Ovis aries: one gene and its partners. The protein of the gene in region 2 purifies or fractionates together with the protein of the main gene of each other region. This does not show direct contact. Links are inferred from orthologs where the notes say so. Each region holds a gene or a part of one and is shown on either strand. Other genes may lie near its edges. The genes, in order: SMARCA1, BPTF, SMARCA5 and HMGXB4.

What was found.
Region 1: the proteins of BPTF (region 2) and SMARCA1 purify together in Homo sapiens (affinity purification with mass spectrometry; 4 studies listed by BioGRID and IntAct, with this or other methods). This does not show direct contact. The link is inferred for Ovis aries from reciprocal best matches to the Homo sapiens genes BPTF and SMARCA1.
Region 3: the proteins of BPTF (region 2) and SMARCA5 purify together in Homo sapiens (affinity purification with mass spectrometry; 4 studies listed by BioGRID and IntAct, with this or other methods). This does not show direct contact. The link is inferred for Ovis aries from reciprocal best matches to the Homo sapiens genes BPTF and SMARCA5.
Region 4: the proteins of BPTF (region 2) and HMGXB4 fractionate together in Homo sapiens (co-fractionation; 3 studies listed by BioGRID, with this or other methods). This does not show direct contact. The link is inferred for Ovis aries from reciprocal best matches to the Homo sapiens genes BPTF and HMGXB4.

The regions. Positions count from the first base shown.
Region 1 is NC_056080.1:113,398,955-113,404,401, reverse strand, and holds the end of SMARCA1 (probable global transcription activator SNF2L1), read left to right. Parts: intron 1-1,802; coding exon 1,803-1,913; intron 1,914-2,945; coding exon of another isoform or gene 2,946-2,951; exon of another isoform or gene 2,952-3,014; coding exon 3,015-3,086; 3' UTR 3,087-3,745; downstream 3,746-5,447.
Region 2 is NC_056064.1:48,713,019-48,718,865, forward strand, and holds part of BPTF (nucleosome-remodeling factor subunit BPTF), read right to left. Parts: intron 4,751-5,847; coding exon 4,533-4,750; intron 1,754-4,532; coding exon 1,531-1,753; intron 806-1,530; coding exon 1-805. UniProt on the Homo sapiens protein: Regulatory subunit of the ATP-dependent NURF-1 and NURF-5 ISWI chromatin remodeling complexes, which form ordered nucleosome arrays on chromatin and facilitate access to DNA during DNA-templated processes such as DNA replication, transcription, and repair.
Region 3 is NC_056070.1:14,448,800-14,454,646, forward strand, and holds part of SMARCA5 (SWI/SNF-related matrix-associated actin-dependent regulator of chromatin subfamily A member 5), read right to left. Parts: intron 4,929-5,847; coding exon 4,828-4,928; intron 3,096-4,827; coding exon 2,995-3,095; intron 2,227-2,994; coding exon 2,047-2,226; intron 777-2,046; coding exon 621-776; intron 523-620; coding exon 391-522; intron 1-390. UniProt on the Homo sapiens protein: ATPase that possesses intrinsic ATP-dependent nucleosome-remodeling activity.
Region 4 is NC_056056.1:179,143,561-179,149,407, reverse strand, and holds part of HMGXB4 (HMG domain-containing protein 4), read right to left. Parts: intron 2,605-5,847; coding exon 2,523-2,604; intron 1,559-2,522; coding exon 1,494-1,558; intron 271-1,493; coding exon 165-270; intron 1-164. UniProt on the Homo sapiens protein: Negatively regulates Wnt/beta-catenin signaling during development.

The DNA of each region.
Region 1 (5,447 bases), on a different chromosome or scaffold from region 2:
CTGTGTCCTTACACTGAAGGACTCAATCGTTATGACTTTGGTTAACCTTAATTACCTCCTTTTAAAGGCCCTCTCTCCAAACACAGTCACGTTGTGGGGGTGTTAAAGCTTCAACTTACAGATTTGGGGAGGACACAGTTTTTTCACAGTGACATCCCATCATCAGTGAATGAGAGCTTCCATTTCACCATCTTATTGCCAACACTGGATGCACATATCACACACATGTGAACATGTCTTTGCTAATTTGATAAATATATCATTGTTTTACTTTGCATGTCTTTGATTGAGTGAAAAAAAGTTCTTAATATTTGGACACTTAAAGTTATTTTGTTTCCTATTCTTGTACTTTGACCACTTTTTGGTTGGAGTTCTCAATTGTTAATAAATCCACATTTTTATTTGAGCATTTAGCTATTTTATATCTTATCAAATATTTTTGCTTATGCAAAAAGAAACCACTTTAAATGTTATTTATCCTTTGATATTAAGCCATTATTTACCTTTCAAATACAGCAAAATATACCAGGTTAATATATGAGCGTCCATATTAATGAATCATATATTTAACGTTCACCATACGTTCATAAAAGCTGTTTATAGTTTGGATGCATTGATTTGCTGGCAGTGAAATATAGGTAGTGGCAAGGTTAATGTGGAATCTTTCCAGCTATTGTTTGCTTTGAATTAACAACTGCAGCAGTGTTTCCTCAGAACTCTGATCCCACGAGGTATGCTTTGAGAAGAGACTTCTGCTGATTGAATGGCTGATTGAATTGCTTGCTTTCTCCATCTCCTACCCTAGTGGTTGACAGTGCTTATTAGAACTTTAAAGGCTCTGAGCATCCCTATAGAAAAGAAATCTGACTTTTGTAAGCTGAGTACTTCCAAATCGTACTTTGACAAGAGGACATCCCCTCATTTTTTTAATGTGACTTTTGTTAACTTTTTGTTTTGAAATATTTATAGATTCACAGGAAGCTGTGAAGAGATGTCCAGGGAGGGCCCATGCACCCTTCACCAAGTTTTCCCAGATGACAACATCTTCCATAAACACAGGACAGTGTCAACATCAGAAAATGGACATTAATACAATCCAAAGAGCTTATTCAGATTTCGTTGGTTATAGATGAACTCTTGTGTGTGGGTGTGTGTGCACATGGTTGTGTGTGTGGATGAGTGTGTATGTGTGTGCTAAGTTGCTTCAGTCGTGTCTGACTCTTTGTGACCCCATGGACTGTAGCCTGCCAGGCTCCTCTATTCATGGGATTCTCCAGGCCAGAATACTGAAGTGGGTTGCTGTGCCCTCATGAGTGTGTAGTTCAGTACAATTTGATCACACATAGGTACATGTAACTAGCACCACCAGAAGATTTACTCGTGCTGGCTCTATAAAGTCACACCCCCTGACCCCCTTTTTCTAGTCCCTGGCAATTTCTAAACTTCTGTCATTTAATAATTTGTTATATAAATGGAACACTGTGCTATGTAACCTTTTGAGATTGGCTTTTTTTCACTCAGATAGGGTTCATTTAGGTTTCTGCATATACCAATAGCTCTTTCCTTTTTACTGCTGAGCAGTATTTCATGATATGGATGTACCACAGTTTACCCACTCTCCCACTGAATGATATTTATCCACTTATCATATATTTAGTGGAATATAGCCTGTTTGAATATTGTTCTGAAGAATACCAATTTAGAAAATTCTCTGTCACAGAAGTGATAGAATCGAACAATTACCACTTTTTGAAGGTTGTACCTGGGTTGCAGAAATTAAAAGTCTTCTTTATTTGGTTCAGGAATTCCAGAGACGCTGTAATACTCTGATTTCATTGATTGAGAAAGAAAATATGGAAATTGAGGAAAGAGAGAGAGCAGAAAAGAAGAAACGGGCAACTAAAACTCCAATGGTAAAATTTTCAGCATTTTCCTAACTTTTAGGTAGATCCCATTTTTTTTTACATAATTAAAATGCCTATATTATGTTTAATGCTATAGTGATACCTATTATAAAGACTGGTTTTTATGAAATGCTGATTTGTTTTTGACAGAAAAAGAATTACACTACAACCACGTGTTTCCTATCTGTTTGTAGCGTATACGGTTAGGAACTCCCTAGTAACAGGGCTCAGTATTTTTAAAAATTTCTCATTACTTTTAAGCAGAAGTGTAATGCAAGTAAAATCCTCTGAACTGAGACTGGAGTTGTCATGGGGAGTAGAAGAGGGGTGGGGTGGGGTGGGGCTGAGGTTGAAACTGAGAGTTCTGATTTGATCAAATAAGTTTTCTGATCTTTGTGGAACTATGAATACAAATAAGAACTTTGAGGAGACAGCAAAGCTTTACTTGATTTACTTGGTAATAAGTTAACTGTTAATAGTAAGATGATTTTAACTCAGTCAGGTTGCCTTGTATAGTTAGAATTTCAAGTACTCTTTAACATATTATTTGAGTGTGGTTAAGTAAACTACCATATTTCATCAAGTCTAAGATGCCTTCCATTGTAAGACAAAGCATTATTTTATGTGCTACTAAGAAAAACTGCTGCCAAGTAACTGATTTGTCATCAATTCCAGAATGCATCCTGATTTCAGAGATGCTAAAGTGGGAAACAAGTGTGCATCATAGAATATATGAAATATGGTATTTTAGCATCTATCATAACATTTCAAAAGTAATACACTCATAATTAACATTTTTCCCAGAAAATTTTAAGTATTAAGTAGTTCTTTAAGCATACATTTTTAGTATCATGTGTAAGTAGAAACTTGATGACTATTTTTGATGGGTATTTTATGTCTTTTCTTAACAAGAAAACATGTTTGGAGGTTATTTTACATTGGGTTATATAGTTTGTTGGGTTATATAGAACATTAACTGTGAGTATAACATTTAAGTGAATATTCATGTTAAAATTTTTTTTTGATGCATTTACATCCTAGATTTAACATTGTTGGGCCATTTAAAAATGTGCATATTGGAGCAGAACATTAAATCTGTTTCCATTTTAGTCACAGAAAAGAAAAGCAGAGTCAGCTACTGAGAGCTCTGGAAAGAAGGATGTCAAGAAGGTGAAATCCTAAAGCCTAGAAATAAAGTTTTAAATGGGAAACTGCTATTTTCTTGTTCCCATCTTCAAATGCTAATTGCCAGTTCCAGTGTATTCATGGTACTCTAAGAAAAATCAATTTGGTTTTGATTTCTTGCATATTTTATATATTTTACAATGCTTTCTACCTGAAATGTGTAGCTTTAGATTTTATGCATTCTAGTATTTTTGTGTACTGTATTTTGTGTATTTCATGTCTTCATCTAAATCCTCTCAGTCCTTGTTCTTTTGAAGCTTGTGCTGAGGTTTTAGCTTTTCTATGTTTTATATGCCGCTGCTTTGAAAGAGAACCTAGATTCTATAGCTGTATTATTGTTGTTTCATACTTTAAATTTATATGGCTGTGGAAAAATGAATTAAAATGATTTGAGGAGAAAGACTTTTTCACTTCTTTGTTGCTTTCTTTTCTATTGAGTATGGGCTTGTACGTGTTACTGCATACTGTGATTAGCATAATAATTGTTTCTTTGAGGTCATCTAAATATTTTTTTCCTAAAGGAATAAAGGGTGAGAACAGAAAATTATTAAAAAAACTAATATTTGATACTGTGCTTGCTGTCAGTATGCATTACATTTAAATTATTCTCTAAATATTCAAGTGGGAAAGTATAATAAAGAAATGTCTATAAGAAATTTAATTATTTCCTGTGTTTTGTGCAGTAGAAAATAGTTGTGTTTACTGAATTGTATTGTTCACAACTATGTATTTGGTTGAAAGTTAAAGCTTTGCTTGCTGACTTGTGCCTGATCTTTTATCACATAGAGCCAGTTCAGGGGAGTCTGGGTATAACACGTAGATTTATTAACAACTCAGTTGCGAGTATGAAATAAGCAGCATGCATGCAGAAGAAAGGGGGAGGTCTTCCATAGGAATGCAAGTATGCTCAGTTCACAAGACAGAGTATCCGAGGTTTTATATACCAAGAGCTTCTATCTTTCCCACACTACAGACCCCCACACAGGCCAGTGGGATGTGAGATGGGAGGAGATCTGCTCCACACAGTCACTCCAGGCTCCAGTCCGACTGAGGCTCCCATGTTTCGTATCTGTACCATCTAGAACATGTGGGTTATTCAGCTGCCACCATAGGAGAACAGGAGTCTGGAGAATCACATAGAGGCTCTTTATTGCCTCAGTCCAGAAGAGACAGATGTCACACCCATTTATATTTCATTGTCCAAAACTAGTCACATGGTCTTGTGTATGTGCCAGAGGACTGGCAAATGTAGGAGAATAAATGGAATGCCTTACATTACTGCCTCTGCCACAGGGGCTGTCACACAAAACTGTTAGTGTGTGCTTAATCAGAGTCAAGATCAAGTTATGAGGAAACAGGGAAAATGGATCAGAGCCTAGTGTGAAATGCATAGCAGTTAAGTAAAGCTGGGCATGTGGGATGGTGGTGTTTGTTATTAAAACAAAATCTGGACAACTGAAGAGTTGCTCTCTCCCTGACCCAAGATCTTTTTGCATTTCCTCTCCGACTCTGTTTAGTGTACCACTGGCAAAGCTTGGTGCAAGTCAGCATCTTTCACATCCTCATTGTCGTTGGGGTTCTGCAACATAGGAATAGGTCTTCTAGAATGACAACCCATCGTCTGCTGGACTCTTCCAAGTCTTGAAGACTCTTGACTCTTCCATTGTCCAGATTTCATATTTCTTACTGCCGTGCTCCTGATTGGATTCTTTTTACTGTTTCCACTATTAGGAGACTTGTACTCTGTTGAAGGTTTGGATGAAACTGGGTTGCTATTAAGAGATGAGTTTACAATGATGTTAGGTCAAGGAACCCAGAGATATCCAAATCTATCCTTGGCTTAACCACCCTTGCTATAAGGTTCACAAAAGAGGCAAAGGTAAGCAAAGTCATACTTCACTAGCTGGTGCTTTGCTCCAAACTACAATCCAGAGCTCTTAAATCCAAAATAAAATCTCAGAATTTTCCACTCCAGTGAAATTAAAAGTTCCAGTCATCTGAGATGGAGAAAATTATACATTAGAGAGTCTTATTAATACCCACAAGTTCTGTGCACTGAACAATATCCCAATTAGGGTCTTGGACTCTGATCAATCAGTTCAGCATTTCTTGGGGAGAAATGAAGGTTCAGGATGGGAGCAGGTACAATTAGGATCTTTGAACTTCTTTCACGGACATGTAACAATCTTTACTTCTTGTTCTTTTTCTGTTAACCCAAAGGGGGTAATGACTAAGCTGTAATGACTTAGCCATTAACCCTAAGGGGGTAATGGCTATCTACTTTAGGAGAGAAAATCTGCAGGTAAGTTCTTCCACGCTTTTTCATGGGACCATTTTCCTGGCCATATGGCTCTTTCT
Region 2 (5,847 bases):
ACTGTGACCACACTCTGGATGTGGTGAGTCTGCACAGGGCTGCTCTGCTGAATCTGAACGGGCAACTGGAGTCTGATCTGCTGGGGCACACCACCTTGCTGAGCCTGTATCTGAGCCACAACCTGCGACTGGATCTGGGAGAGAACCTGGACTTGTGGTGGCAGCTGCGGCACAGCCAGGACTTGGGGCTGAGGCTGCGGTACTTGGAGCGGAGGACGGGGCGGGGATGCAACAGTAACTTGACTTAACGTTTGTCCTGGTGAAAGAGTTTGAGTTGAAGACTGTACCTGGGGTTGTGACTGTGGCTGGCCCTGGGAAGGTGTCGGAAGAGATGTGTGTGGCTGGATTGGAATCGGTTGGGAGGCTGCAGTCTGACCCTGGGCCTGCTGTCCGGGAGACACTTGGGATGGCGTCGATGGGCGTGCTCGAGTCTGTGGCGGGCTCTGGACGCGAGCAGGAGGCTGTCCTTGGCCATTGCTCTGAGGCGGACACTGTCCTGCAACCTGGGCTTTGGAGGACTGTGCTTGGGTGGGCTGTGCTTCAGGAGGGACATGGGAGGCCACAGCTGTTTGGGTCTGAACTTCAGGCTGAGTCTGAGTTTCAGGCTGAGCTGGGGACGGGGGCTGGGTTTGGGGCTGGGGCTGAGCTGAAGGCTGAGCTGAAGGCTGAGCGGGCTGAGCGGGCTGCGCAGGCTGAGGCTGGGCTTCTGGAGGACTCACGCTCGACGGCGGAGCTGGAGGCAGGCTTTTGGCTGGCTGCACCTGTGTCGGGGACGATAATTTACTCTGTCTTTGTTCACTTGTACCTGTGAAAAGGCAAGAGCAAATACTTATGACTCTAGAACGTAAGACTGTGGTTTAAGAAGAATTTGAAGGGGATTTTCTAAAGGAGAGAATTCTACATTTCAGGACAGAGGACTGAAGCTTAGAAATGCTCCATCTAGAAATACTTCGGTCAGAACTCGCCTCTCAGGGAACCTCGCCATGTTCATGGCTGCCTGCCACACGTTTTGCGAGGTCTCCGGAAGGCTGGCTTCCGAAGCAAAGCGCATTCTCTGGACATCAGTCCGGACTTGTGGCCCAGGCTAAGCTACCCGTATCCCTCTCCTACGGCATGGGGTCAGTGAACAACAGCAGCTTGCAGGGGGAGGCTCCCAGACTGCTCCAGTTTGGGAGCTCTCAGTCCTAGCTTATGAGCTGGACAGACCATCTGCCTGGTGAGCACATCCGTGATTCACTCAGCAACTACAAGTTTGGGAGAGAGCAGGAGGGGGCACGGTCGCCATGGCGTTTTACTACTGTGCGCTACCCCCTGCTTTCCTCATTTCCTAAAGGGGGAGAGGGGTGGCAACAGGGAGTCTGTCCGAGCAAGAGATCTGGTCGAGCCCTTGTGAGGCTGACCAGTCAGCTGTGGCCGCTCCTCAGCTTGGGGCACATCCGCCCAAGGAAAGCCCCAGTCCTCTTGCCTCCTTGGTCACCCAGCAACTTGTGACACCAACGAGCAGCACTTCCGACAGCCCCCAAGTTCTACCTGCTGCTGTAGTAGAGACGGTGGTGGTGGTGGCGCTGGTGGTGGTAGCTGTGGTTGCCAGCGGGGTGAAGAGGAATCGCTGAACGGTACCATTTGGCATTGCAGCTTGCATCAGCTGCTGTCCTGGACCCGGAAGTATCGTCACCCCTTGAGGTATCAACTGCAACTGCCCAGTAGTCTGACCTTGTCCTTGAATCACCACTGTCAAACCTTGATTGCCACCCTACAGAAAAAAAACACCTAACATGTAAAGAGTATTCAAAAAACATCAATCTCTAAGTATACTTGTTTTTATATTGAAAAGATCCTTTAAAATAATGAAACTCTGTATTTCAATGTCTATGGAATAGTACCAAGAGAAATACAGATAAGCTAAAAGAACGGCATTTATTTTAAAAGACTGATGGTGATTAGTGGAAAAAACATGAATTAACAATCCAGAGTTTCAGTCTGAGTTCTGCACATGGACAGCCAGGAATCTGTCTATGAGTAACACCACTTACCTGGATCTAAGTCTCCCAGTCTATAAAATAAGAGCATTGAAGTGACTAACTAAGGTCTCCACAAAATTCTGAGTTTAAATCACCTTATTTATATTCGTATTATTTTATAACTTTTACATACTTTAGACATGCCTCATTTGATTCTCACAATAGACTTGTGACTTTGTGGTAAGGAAAGAAATATTACTACACTCTTCCTACCAATTAGGAAACTCAAGTTAGAAAGTTCAAAGTTCCTTGCCGACAATTAGAGAGCAAGTCCAAGGTGAGACACAGTGAGAAGCCCAGGTCTCCTAGTTTCAGCTTTTTCACTAGGTACCAAACGATCTATGGTGTGTGTGTATGCTGAAGCATAGAAAGCTTAGGGTTCTACACATGGAATGCAAATACCACGTGAGGAAGGTCACTAATGTCTGCGTTGTCACCAAAATGGGGACCAGGAACTAAAAACTCCATATGTACTACCGCTTCTGTCCAGGACTTATTCATCCTCAGCCACCAGGAGCATGAGGGAGAATGAGGAAGCAAATGTAAAACCAATCCACCCCAAATCTCCAACAGTCGAAACTGACACTGCAAAGTTCACTTACTAAGCTCCATGCACTTTTACTCATGAGCCCCTTATTCACTCTTGCTTTTCTAAAATACTTTCTGTGTGCACAGTCAAAACTGCATAAAACACAAAGTATAAAGAATAATTATGAAGTGAAGATCTATAAACCCAGCATTCAGGTCATCATCGCCAGCATCCAAGAAGCTCTGCATGTGACCTGCTCTGATCTTCATCTCCTTCCTTTGCCCTAGAGGGAAGCGCTAATTTCACGGATACAGTACCTGCATTTCATCGCGCTGTGACCACTGAGGTGTATACAGATCTCTACGAGGCCATAGGCTCATGACTTCAGGAGCACCATTATTTACAAAGAATATGAAGGGTGCCCTTTGGTGTCCCCTCCAGGAAGGCAATGCAGCAGCCCCCTAATTCTGCATAATGTAGCTAGTTTTGCCTGTTTCTGAATCCTAGGCAAGTAGATCATAATGTATGTTTGTTACCTGCTTCTTTATTTAGCTCAACAATGTAGTTCTACATTGCGGTAGTTTGTTCATTTCAGTTGCTGTAGGAAGGCATTACCGCTTTACTGATCTAATCGATGGCGGCTGTGTATATTCCTGTCCGTTATTCTGGGGCTCAGACGAACAAGAACTTTTCAAGAGAACATACCTAGGAGGGTAACTGCTGTGACCTGGGGCATGCTGTGTCTTCAACTTTGCTAGGAAGTATTGAGGAGTTTTCCAAGGTGGCCAAACCAATTTACATTATTATCAGTTGTGTATGAGAGTTCATTCTACTCCACGTTTTTGCTTTTCTTGATTTTGTCTGACATTTTCCTTTATACCAATCTCTTAATATATGGTTTTAATACACATTTCCCTCATTACTAACAAAGTTCAGCAGTTTTTTGGATTTGTGGACATTTAAGAGTTCCTCTATTCTCATCAAGTGTGTCTATTCTTATTTTCTACCAAGTTATCTGGATTTTTCCCCATCTTAATCTGTAGTAGTAACTCTTCATTTCTGGAGAACAATCCTTGGCTGGCTACATGTGTACCTTCCCCTCACTCTTTTCACTCTTTCATGTTTGATGGACTAAAGTTCTTACTTCTAATGCTGAATTTATAAATCTTTTCCTTTATGGTGAATATTTTCTGTCTTTAAGAAAGCCTTTCCTACCTTCTGACAAGTACTATAGTCTTATCTTTTACAGCCAGGACTTTAATCTTTCTGGAGCCGAGTTTATGAGTGAGGTTGTGGTCCAAGCCAGGACCTTTTATTGAAAAGTCTGTCCTTGATCCACACTGCCATCCAGGTCATATGTCAAGTGTCCACATATACATATGGGTCCTCTTCTACTGTTCTGTACCGACTGCTCTACCTATCCTTGTGTCTGAACCTTACTGTATTAATTAGTGAAGGACTACAATTTAAAGTCTTTGTATCAGGTAACTACATAGGGCAAATCCTCCTTTTCTTCAAAAGTATTAACAGTTATTCTGGATCCTTTGAACTTCCACATAAATTTTTTAAAAACCAGCTTGTCAAACTTTAAAACACCTCTCTTGGGATTTTGATGGCAACCACATTCACTCTATGGATTACTACTGGAAGAACTGATAGAACTGATAGTAACGCTGGGTGTTGCAAGGAAACGGCTTGATGTACTCAAATTTCATTTTTCCCAAGCAAATTAGTTAACTAGTAAAATTTTGGTGGTTCAGTGTGTTATCCACCCTGCTATTACAGCACACAATCTCAGCATTCTGGACAGTTGAGGGGATCACATCCTGCCTTTAAGAAGTACTTTTCTTTGACTTTAGGAAGCAGCCATTTCTTAAAACAAGTATATTTTTAAACCTCTGAAAATAAGTCCATGTTTTAAAACTCACAGCAGATGTAAACAAGATCACTTCTAACGTGAAAAGGGAAGTCACATTACTTACGTGGCCCTGTGTTAACTGAGTGAGCTGAGCCATGGTAAGCTTCACCTGTCCTTGCTGGGGACGAGGGGGCTGTGAGGCTGAAGGCTGCAGACTCGCAGTGGATGTTCCTGAAGATAACCCTTTCTGTGCAGGTGTGGAGGAAACGGTACTAGGGGCAGAGATCGCAGTGGAGACAGGCTGCCCTCTGATGATCTGTGTCACCACCTGCTGAGGAGCACCTATGTAAACAGGGAAACATTAGAGTGCTTCTGTGCCCAGAGTGGTCCTCTGAGTTGAGATATATCTTTCAACACTTCGCATGAATGTATCTTCTCAATTTTCAAAAAGACTTATGGGATGCCGACAGACAGACGCCTTTAGTCATATACCCCTACCCGAAGGACCCACCAGGTTGTCAATGAGTCTGTTTTCACTCAGCTCACTGACAACCTCTCTCCCTTTCCTGTTCTCCGTAGAAGAGTTAAAAAAAAAAAAAAAAAACAATGCTCTTCCTGTGACTCTAAAGCCAAAATGATAATAGGGAAGATGGAGGAGAATATGTAAAAAATGCCGTTAGGCAGTCTTTCCTTAGGAATACAAATTAAAAATAACAACACACAATTAACTAATGTAATTTTTAAACAAAACACATATAATCTGGAATATTCTGGGCCAATTATATTTATAAATGAGCTTTTCTTACAGCTATCTGCCAAACAGTTTGGGAGAAGCAAGAGGTCAAGGACCCCTATATATCTTCAATATTAGAGCAATGTGCTTAACTAATGCTTTCATATTTACTCGTCAATAACTGTCTATAGAATGAATGAAGTTTAACTGAAATGGCTCTATCATCTTCTTGAAAAACTGTTTCTCATTTAACCTGATATAACTGGAAAAAAAAATCAGATGGTAATTATCTGGTAGCTGGTTTTATACTTACAAAGTCTGAATTCATTATTCATTAGTAAATAACATCATATTTCTGAAGTTTTATGTTCGCATCCTGTTTGTCCTTTTGTGTCTACATATATATTTCTGTGTATATTTCTTTTAATGATTGGTGGTTAATATTACTGCATTATGTATAAAATTAAATCGATTTTGACCCTTAGAACACTTTCCCCTTTTCTTTTTTTAGATAACACCATGGTGAAATCCCTGCTTATAAACTTTTTTGTGCTTCTAATTATTTCCTTAGAATGAACTCCTCCCAAAGATACTGTGTTCACAGTATGCACACAATACTAAACTGAATTTTAGAAAGGTTATACTCACTCATACTCCCCCCACCACTGGGTACTCATTACATTGAACCTTTGCCAGCCCTGTCACT
Region 3 (5,847 bases), on a different chromosome or scaffold from region 2:
AAAAATCCATCATTTAATACAGATATCCCATTTTTGATAAACAGAAAAAATATTGTGAAGAGAACTTCAGGATTTACTGTTATTTACTTTTAGTCATTATTTACTCTTAACAATCTTCATATCCAACATGCAGCAGTGTTACATTTATCATGCTGCACATCTTAAATACTTAATAATCTTGTAAGTGGAAGATAAATAAGTACAATAAACTCTGCACCCTTTAACTGCCTTCATCCAGTTCTGCTTCTCCCCTGGTTCCCACCTCTGGTAACCGAAATTCTCATCTCTTTCTATATAAGTTTGTATGTTTCTTGAAGCAGGCCAGTTCTATTACAAAAATATTAAGTATCGAAAAACTACTCCAACCAGAAAATAGTAAGAAGTACTTACATCAGCTGAATTAAAGACATCTGGTAACAAAAAATTAAGAAGTGACCAAAGTTCATGCAAGTTGTTTTGAAGAGGTGTTCCAGTTAATAATAGTCGATTTGTAGTCTTGAATTCCCTCACTATTTCTGACAACTGAAAGAACCAAATTCATCATTAGAATGAATAGTCTGCATATGGATCAAATTCTAAATGAAGGCACACATGATTTTCAAATCTAAATATCAAATTACCTTGGATTTTTCATTTTTGATCCTGTGAGCTTCATCAATAACTAAGTACCTCCAATTAAATTTTTTGAAAACAGACTTCTCTTTAATAAGCATTTCATAAGAAGTTACACATACATCCCATTCTCCTGGTAATAAAACATCTCTGACAAAAGCAGCCTGTTTAACAAAAGAAAAAAAATTATATCATGCAGAAATAAACTATACATTAAATTTATTGATAACAAGAGCATAGGCGGGGGGCAGGAGGGGGGGCGGAATACTAAAAAAGAATTAAGAGTTACCTATAGTACACAAGCAGCTACAACTAGCTCAAAGTAACTTCATTAATCCTATGTCACAGCCATGTAATAAATAACTGACAAAATTATTTGGTGCAAAAGTTGATAGACGAATTCTTAAAATGTCTTCTTTCCACAATTCCACTAAGTGTTGAAATTTTTTGGACACAGGTTTAGAAAAGGATAAAGAGTTTTCTGACATAAAGATAGATAAGGACTAAAGACTAGTTTGCAGTAAGCATTTTCATTCATTTTAAGTTTACAGATCTTTTAAGACATTGCTATGAATTTTCTCATTTTACAGGTGAAGAAACTAAAGCAAAGACTGGTTAAACCACTGGGTTTCAGGATTCTGAAACTTAAAATACCCGAAGTAGCTAAAAAGGGAGAAAAGAAATCTAGAGTCATACTGATAGCGGAATGAAGGGAAAACAAAACTTAATACACAGTCCTTCAATACAGTATGAGTCCATTTTTTAATCCAAATTTTATATTCTTCATAGTGACAATTATTTCCATTGTTGGTGGTGCTATTTTAGTCGCTAAGTTGCCTGATTTTGTGACTCCATGGACTGTAACCCACAAGGCTCCTCTGTCCACAGGATCTCCAAGGCAAGAATATGGAGTGGGTTGCCATTTCCTTCTCCAGGGCATCTTCCTGACTCAAGGATCAACCCATGTCTCCTGCATAGACAGGCAGATTCTTTACCACTGTGCCACTAGGGAAGCCCTCATTATTTCCATTTCCTCTCCCCAAAAGGATGTATCAACTGATCAATATTTTAACTTATTTTGATAGATATGATACCAACTTGTCAAGTTACTATTTACATTTCTACTACTTACATTATTATGAAGAAATTGCTCTAGAATGGGCATAAAGCCTTCAATTTTATAACCACCCCCTAAAAGCAGGCGGAACAAACTATATTCTTATAGCTTTCTACAGTCTACAATTCCTTTTTCCCCAGTATGAATCTTAGCCATCAAGATAATATTCCACTTACAAATTACTAATATTTATGAAGACCAGGCTTATTATTGGGACCCTTTCTCTTCTTTTATCCCTCCTCTAGTTATCCCCTTTCCCCAAACCTAAATTCAAATTCTTTTAATATCAACAATGTAACAAAATATGAGAAACTTACCCTCTGTTCTTTATCGCCTATTAAACAAACAGACCTAAGTGTTGGTACCCATCTCTTGAATTCACTCATCCAGTTGTGTAACGTAGACTTAGGCACCAAAACCATGTGAGGACCAGGAATGTTTCGATAGTGTTTCATGTACCCAAGAAGAGAAATTGTTTGAAGCGTCTTTCCCAGGCCCTGAAAGAGACAATAACCACAACGCTATGAAGCACGGAACAAAACAGACTCCCATATTTATTATTTCCTGACTGGTACAGAAACATTTAAAAGAAAAGCTGTATATACGCCTAACAAATAGCAGAAACTTGACCTGTGTCAAGTGGACAATGTTACGGCATTTAACCTTCACCAGTCTGTGAAGGATGTACCATTACCAACCCCCCAAAGCTCAGATATAAGCTTTCCCAGGGTCACCCAGCAGAGCTAGAACCAGAACCAATTTCTTCTGACTCCATTACTTTCTCCAAGCAATTGTCTTAGCACCGTAGCTATACAGAAACTTAGAACATTCACTATATAACTAGTAAATAGTAAACAAGATACAATGTTTTACAAGATAGAACGGTACAAGGTGCCATCACAGAGAAAATATTTACTGATGAGGTCCAACTAATCCCCCGTGTCTCAGAGAAGTGGGGGGAGTGAGGGGAGATGGCCAAATCATATTAGAAAAGTCAACCAAAGGCATGCTTCTCAAAACGTAGTATTTTAAAGTTTATTACACTTTCATAGATAATAATTCCTCACAACTGAAGTATAGATATAGATTCCACTTAGGCAACTAAAGTGAGCTCATTATTAGTCTGACACAGGATTAGCTTGCTAACAGTCTACAGTATAATCAATAAACTATATCTTACAAGTCTTAACTTTTATAAACCTAAATGGTATACAAGGTTTTAAATTATAAAACGTGGACTTCTACAAAAGCTATCAAACACATACCATTTCATCTGCAAGGATACCATTGATGCCATTCTCATACAAAGAAATGAGCCAATTTAATCCTCGGACTTGATAATCTCTCAGTTTACCCCATTTGACATCTAAGAACAAAAGAAAAATGACATGCACATTTTAAAGACAAGAATACAGGTGGGCAGCCCCTCCTTCATTTGACACTCAGAGGTTTAACTTGGGCCTATACACGTTTATTTTGACTGTGCCTTCTTCATTAGATTTTAAGAACGGGAATGTGGCAAGTTCCAAGTCAGGAAAGGTAGCTGCTGTGGTGTGGAGTAGAGAAGGAGCAGATGGATATGGAAGACAAGAAACACGACGGAAGGGGGAAGGCATCTGAGGCCCCCAGCCGCTCAGTCCTTATGTTACCATGTATCGGTTCTAGAGACTCTCCGGCCTATTTCCTTTCTCAAAGTCAGCGCAAGTGTTTCTAACCAAGAGTTTTCACCTTCCCTGATGACCAAAACAGAGGTTTGCTGGGGCCTGTGTTTTTCTCTTAACAAAGGGGAAATAAATAAAAATTATTAATAAAAGATTGTTTTTCCTTTACCCTTCCTTACTTTGCTTTTCCAAGAGATCCTACAAAAAGAAATGGTATCTTTCAGGGTTTACATTTCCCATCCCAGAATAATTACTAAGTATATGGATCACAAATAACCCAACTTAAAAAAAAAATACATGTATATTCTATATTCCATCCCTTTTGAAAACACTGCTCTGAGACGAAATGTTAGTCAACACTAGGAAAACTGGTTACACTGTAAGAATGTGAGAAAGAGTCAACTCAAATACTTCAAATTTCCTTTCTCTCTGCACCACAAATCTGGCTCTGGCCTCTAGCTTCATAATAAGAAGTGAAAACTGGGTACTCTGTAGCCAACAGAAAAAAAAAAATCTGGAGATACGCACTTTAACCAGACTAATGCATTTCTAACCAGATCCTACCCTCCTTGAAGTTTAGTCTGCTAAGAGTTCAAGATGACAGTTAATTATTAAAACATCCAATCCAAATTATAAACCCTGTACTACTATAAATTTTTCTTTTGCTCACAACCACTATGATCGTACAAACTTGTCATCAAGTGAGAAAGAGAAAGATCAGGGAAAAAAAATTACTGGGCTCAGTAAAAAAACTGTGCCACCAGACAACCAAGATTATACATGCACGCATGCTACGTCGCTTCAGTCATATCCGACTCTGCAACTTCACGGACTGCAGCCTGACATGGCTACATGGACTGTCCTCTGTCCATGGGACTCTCCAGGCAAGAATACCAGAGTGGTTGCCATGACCTCCTCCAGGGGATCTCCTGACCCAGGGATCGAACCCATGGGTCAGTCTCTAGCACTGGCAGGCAGACTCTTTACCACTAATGCCACTTGGGAAACCCAAGATTATACATAAGTAAAACCTAAACCTGGTTAACCATGTTTTCTTTTGGAAAACCATTTATAAACTTTAAAACAAAGACAAAATCAGGAGATGAGTAACAAAAAGTCTTTAATAACTACCTTTTCCTACACATCTTTCTTCTCTAGGGCAAATATATGGCAAATTCCATTCCCATTTTTACATATACATTCAGGAAACATCAAGCACAATGGTGATTTATGCCCTTTTGAAATACAGCATCACTATCATAATGATATACTATCACTTCTAGCCAAAAAAGTATCTGAAGTTCATTTCACAATCAATAAATTTCAAAGATTACTTAAAATTCCCTTTATAAATTATAGCCAAGAAAAACCCCAACATTAACCAAAGGCTACAAGTGGATGTTTTAAAGATTAAGTAATTAAATATATATAACATACATGATGGAGAGTCTTCAAACCGAGTGCAAACATTGGTTGCTTTGGAGCTTTCTGTTAATAATTCTTCATCTTCTTCTTGCTCTGTTCTTCGGTGTCGATAGCTGCCAAGTGTAAAATAAAATCAAGCCATCTGAGTCTTGGCTTTAATTACCAGCTTTCAACATAGTAGTCAAGAGGCTGACCAATATTTCACAGTATCTTAAGAGGCATGTAAATTAAGACTATAGAGTAATACCTTAGGTTAACCAGAACCTGATAAACATAAATGTGATAATCTAATTTCAATGAAGTATGCAGTAAGAAAAACCTCATAGTTTATATTTTAATGTGAAGTATTTTGCTCCCACTCCAAAAATAGTTCCCCCAGAAATCACATTTTAAAAACTACAACTTTCACCAAAAGCTACAGAATTTGCAGAACAGAGACTTAGGGCTTAAGGCAATGACTCTTTAACTAGAGATTCATCAGAATTACTTGAAGCTTTTTAAATATACATGCCCAGATTTTACATCCCAACCGAGTCACATACAGTCTCTTAAAAACTAATTTTTTGTAGGTATAATATTGCCAGATTTCTTAATCTCTAAAGGACTCAGGTTAGTAAAACTACTTACTCCCCAGTTTTCAAGTTTCCACTTATACCTATATACTTTCAACAAATACTTTCATTTAAATTAGAAAACAGTAGATTATATTCCACTCTTGTGATCTCTATATCTAAATTATTGCTTGATTTCTATTAAAACAACATGCTTTGTGGGAAAGATAATCAGCCTTCCCAGAAAGAGAAACATTCCTCAGAAATGAAAGTGAAGGCAATAAAAATCCAAGGATTTTTATTTTTTAGTAGTTTTTTATTTTTTCATATTTATCTGGCCGCACCGGATCTTGGCTGTGGCATGTAGGATCTCTGATCTTTGCTGTGACACGCAAACTCTTAGTGTGGCATATGGGATCTAGTTTCCTGACCAGGAGTGGACCCCAGGCCCTCTGTACCAGGGGTGTGGAGTCTTGGCCAC
Region 4 (5,847 bases), on a different chromosome or scaffold from region 2:
TGACTTAACATTTTCTAAATATTGGGGGCAACCTTTAATATCTGGTATCTGGATATCAAGATCTGCTTCTAATATAGGCCACTCTCCCCATTTCTTAGTAAAGAAGCAAAATTCACAGAGCTGTGGGGAAGAGAATGAAAAGAGGAGAAGGAAGTGGTCATTACCTTTCACTTTCATGGAACCTTCTGAGCTGGATGCTTTTCTTTTCACAGTTGTAGCTTCTGCTTTGTTCTGTTTGTGTTGTAGATACTGAGCTTTTTGCTTCCAAACCTGCAATCAGATCAGGGCAAAAATAAATTTCAAAGGGCAAAAAACTGAAAGGGAAAGCAGTCATGGAAGAACAGAATGAAGAAAAGAAAAGGAACAGTGGAGGGGAGCAGACAGAGGATTAGTGTTTCTTTTTAAGCTGGAAGGTCACTGCACAGGCTTCAGGCAGTGGAGACAGCAGCATCTCAGGCGAGGACTAGGCACATCCTTCAGTGCTACTGCTCAGACGGCAGCATGCACTCTGCGATCCCTCTGCCTAAGGCTGGAACGTAAAAATCACAGAGGAAACCTCTGGCTCACCTTTATGTCCATCTGGTTTAAATATTTCTTCTAACCTGTCAGCTCGCAACACCAACAATAGGATAACCATGACACAAAACCCAGAAACTAAAGATACTCTACCTGGGTGAAAAATACATGTCATCTCACCTAGATGAGCAGTACCTTAAATAAAGCAAAATGGAAATTCTAATTTCTAGACCACCTTTATATCATCTGACTGTAAGTGACTGTGAGTGATTCAGGTATGACTATATCATTGTCTTATTAGTGTTTTGATAGGGCGGTATATTATTTGGTAATGGTTGATGGAGGTGATGACCCAGAACCTGTCTTCCTAATAAACAATGTCCCATGTTTTTATTATTTGCTGTGACTATGGAGCTCTTTCCTCAGTTCTCAGACCATAGCTAACTACTAGCTATAGTCAGGGGCTCTGACTTTAGATCCTCTTTTAACACGTATCATTGCCCAAGGCAGGTCATCTTTTGGCTCAAACGTAAGGTTGCTGAGAAAAAAAATTAGGTGAGGTTAGAAGACAGCCTCCCTGCAGCTAAATCCTCACCTAGAGTGAACTGGCACCAACTTGTTTACTGACCTCTAAGCCATTTTCCACCAATCTATAATTTTTCTTTTTTCCCCTATTTTCAGTGTTTGGGATTTTGGACTTCGCCAGGGGCTCAGAGGTAAAAGAATCTGCCTGCCAATGCTGAAGACATGGGTTTGATTCTTGGGTCAGGAAGATCCCCTGGAGAAGGCTATGGCAACCCACTCTAGTATTCCTGCCTGGGAAATCCCATGGACAGAAGAGCCTGGTGGGCTACAGTCCGTGGGGAAGCAAGAGTCAGACATAACTGAACAACTGAACAACAACAACAACATACGAGGATTACATATTTTGGAAGGACAGAGCAATGAAAAATGTGTCTGTGATAAAGTCTGCTTACCAGTTTGTCCTTCTCTGGCAACTGCTTCCACACCTCAGCCAGTTTTTTACTCAGTTCCCCAAAATCTGGCACAAAAGAGTAAGAAAACCCAGGAAAACTGAATACAGTAAAGGTTTAACCGTAAACAAAACAGAAGGCTGAACAGAACAAAAACTAGGAAGATGGTTTTGAAGATCAGATTTAAATAGCACAAGATTCTTTCAGAAAACCAAACCAAACCCTACCACTTCCCTTGGGTCTTTTATAGAAGGAAGGAGCTGTTTGGGTCGCTATGAGACAGGCTCAAAATCTCACACATCTACTCTTTAACAATTTATGCCTGATGCATCATATTGGTATCTTTTAATATGATCCCATGAAACATGGCTTATCTACTTAGGTTAAAGAAAAAATGTTATGTAGGATTTGATAAGAAATGTTAGGTTTTTACCAAATTTCTGAGAGCTCAGAAACAAAGGAGAATTTCTCTAGAGCAGCTCAGAAGCAATCTTTCAGATGTGTAATACTGTGCTCCCCACACTGTAGAGCAAGCTCACACTTTATAAAGCACATCTGAGTCTTTTCTGATGCTTCATGTGTGCCTCACAACAGCCCTGGTGAGAGGGTTGAGAAGCTAGTCCACACACTAGGCAGATGAGATTTGTAGATGTTACCTGACTTGTCCAAGGGCTGAGGTGTAGCGTTCTCACCTTACCAACTTCGATATAGAGACAAATAACGAACAATGTAATACGTCATCTCCATACCCAACTCCAACCCTATACTCCAACTCCATACCCAAGAGGCAGTTTGGGGAAAAAGTCAGCTGTAGAAGAATCTTGGAAAGAAACAACTGTATGTTTACATACTGTGCTTTTGGACAGGGTGTACTAAGGCAAAATCTAAAGTGACTTGTATAGTTGAGGAGAGAAATGAGATTTGTGTCCTTTTCAGACCATGGGAAGAACTTCGCCTGCTGACTGAATTAACTGCCTTGCTTCACAGATAGACATGGAAAGTAAGAACACTAAAAATGAGAAATGTTCTCACCTATGCCTGGATGGTCAGCCACAATGGTTACACGGTACTCCTTGCAGAACACTTGGTAGGCCGACATGTTCTTCTTTTTTGGCTAGTACCACATAAAAATAGAACAGGGTAAGACTTAATTAGAAGTCAAGTTGAACAACTTTGCGTCTGTGAGAACAAAGCAGAAAAGTGACCTGCACTTTTTCCTCAAGGGTCCTAAATTGCCAACCAACTTTCCTTAAACAGGATAATTATTAAACCATGTCACTTATGACTCAGAGATGAGTATCAGTTTTACTTTTAGAAGGTAAAAACCAGATGCTGATTTTTAGATTTTTCAGGTTGTTGCAGCTCCTTGATAATTGTTTGTAAAGCTCTTCATTCATCCTACAAATGTTACCTAATTCTTTTAGAATTGAGTGCTAAGCAAATCTTTATCTCCCCTGGGGTAGCTATTTTTCATCTTTAAAATAAGAACCACATAACTTTTCTTTACTTTGGGGCTAGAAAATCAAGAGCCAAATTTACGTTCATATTGTGCCTCTGGTTTTCATTTCTTCTTCTTTCTTTTGGTTCTGAGGCATGTGGGATCCTAGTGCTCCAACCAGGGATTGAACCTGCGCCCCCTGCATTGGATGTGCAAAGTCTTAACCACTGGATCACCAGGGAAGTCCCTGGCTTTGATTTCTAATCTTAAAATTTTCTTGATCCTGCTTTGACTGTCACTTGTAGTTTATCGTTATTTTATTGTTCACATTTTTGTGGTCCAAAGGTGAAAAGTAAATAAATAACTGAGGACAATTCTTTGGTACTCAATGTAAGATGAACCTCTTTCACATCAACAAAGTGTTTTGTACTACTTGAAGTATGTTTATGCTTCATTGAATTATGATAATTTCAAAAGCAACACAGGATTTTTGAGAAACAAGCTTTTAAAACCAACCAAGTGTATATAAAACAGAAGGTATTATACATTACCATGCATTCCATTTTACAATTAACCATAAACTTGGAAGAAAAAAGTTTCCCTACCTGAAAAGGCACATTAGATAGCACCTGTCCAACCCCCTCACTTTGAGGATGAAGAAAAGGAAACTCAGAAAAATAGTGACTTGTCTGGGTCCTGTAGCTATGCCGGTTGTAACACCAGAATGGCTACGACCCAGGCACCTGAACTTTAGGGCTATGCACTATGGGCCAAGGGAAAAATACATTGCTTCCTTACAGAAAAAGTTACTATTTCAGACTAAAAGGTTATCCCTTTATAACTTTTCTCTAATATACTGAGATGTTTTCAGTCTGGCTTTCCTTACAACCTCATTTGTAAGTATCAAAGTACAATGATTGGTCCTCCACCTCCTTCCAAGATAGTCCTTTCTGGTCCTGCAAGTTATTATAATCACATGAATGTCTGGTGCTTTAAAGCTGCTGGAAACTTTTGTTTGCCTCAAGAGTTATATTTTACAATCAAAACAAAACAACAAACAACACCATGCCTGTCTCATGACTTCAGAGCTGCACCTTGTTTAAAACAAAGTCTAATCACGCACTTTGGGTTCACCTGACTTAATTCTTAATATTGTTTTCATAAAACCACTATCCTCAAAGACCAAAGGCTAGCCAACACTTTTTTTGTTGTTCAGTCGCTCAGTTGTGTCCAACTCTTTGTGACCCTATGGACTGCAGCATGTCAGGTTTCCTTGTCCTTCGTTATCTCCTGAAGTTTGCTCAAAGTCCATTGAGTCGGTGATGCCATTCAACCATCTCGTTCTCTGTCACCCCTTCTCCTCCTGCCCTCAATCTTTCCCAGCATCAGGTCTTTTCCAGTGAGTCGGCTCTTTGCATCAAGTGGCCAAACCACTGAAGCTTCAGCTTCAGCATTAATCCTTTCAATGACTATTCAGGGTTGATTTCCTTTAGGATTGACTGGTTTGATCTCCTTACTGTCCTAGGGACTCTCAAGAGTCTTCTCCAGTGTCATGGTTTGAAAGCATCAATTCTTCAGAGCTCAGCCTCCTTTATGGTCCAACTCTCACATCCATACATGACTACTGGAAAAACCATAGCTTCAACTATATGGGCCTATGTTGGTAAAGTGATGTCTCTGCTTTTTAATATGCTATCTAGGTTTGTCATAGCCAACACTTAAGACAATAAAAAAAGCTGTGTGACAGCTCTGACTTGAATTCCCAAAGGAATTCTGAAACCATTTTTGAAGAATGGAAACAACCCTGAGACATCTCCCAAAGTACCTGCTCTGAATGAGATAGCACTTCTTTGGCTATAAAAATTATGGCATGTTTGTTATAAATTTACCTTCAAAAATTTCAGACCAGTTTTTTAAAGACAGCTTATTCATAGAACTGACATTTGGCCATATTATAAAACTTGTAAGGAGTTTTAACAATGTTTCCTTAGACAAGACTGTGAAAGGTTATTGCCCTCTATTTCACAAGGCTATCTACAGCTATAACATAAAACTAAAATGACTTTTATAGAATGAATCACAACTCTTATTCAATACATTAGATCCCAATCCACATTCTGAAGAAAGGAGTTCCTCTCATAGCTCTCATAAGGACTTTATTCAATTGTGTAGAAAATAAGCCTGCATCTTTTGAGTACCTGTACTGGGTATGTGAAGTGGCTCAGTTGTGTCCGACTCTTTGTGACCCCATGGATTGTAGCCTACCAGGCTCCTCCATCCAAGGGATTTCCCAGGCAAGAGTACTGGAGTGGGTTGCCATTTCCTTCTCCAGGGGATCTTCCCAACCCAGGAACTGAACCCGGGTCTCCCACACTGTAGTCAGACACTTTACAGTGAGTAGTTAAACAGGATAAGCTTTTGAAGTCCAGATCTTTTTCTAAGGCAGTCAAGCAGCATAAAACGGTGGAAAAACTTTAAAACATAAAGTTCGAAGGCCCACCATCTTTTCTCAGCTTCAACTTATACTAACGATTTGATCCTGAATAAAACACAGGAGAAATGGATAGCTCTTCTGACATGTGACGTTAAAAGTATTTCAGTGGCAAAGAAGGAAAAGCAGAGACTAACAAGGAGGAGATCGCAAAGGAAACATAGTAACCCATCAAAGTACTCTGTACTCTTCATTTCTTAATATTTACTGAGCATCCACTCTATGCCAGACATTGGGAATACAGCCAAGAACCAGACACAGAATCTAACAGAGGAGACAGATAAATGTGTCATCATAATGCAATGTGACAACATTACAGGAGAAGTACTGGCTGCTACAGGAATATGCAACAGAACCGCCTCACTCATCAGGGAGTTGAAGAAGGTCCTCCTTGCTGGAGGAAAGGACATTTAACTTAGACGCTAAAG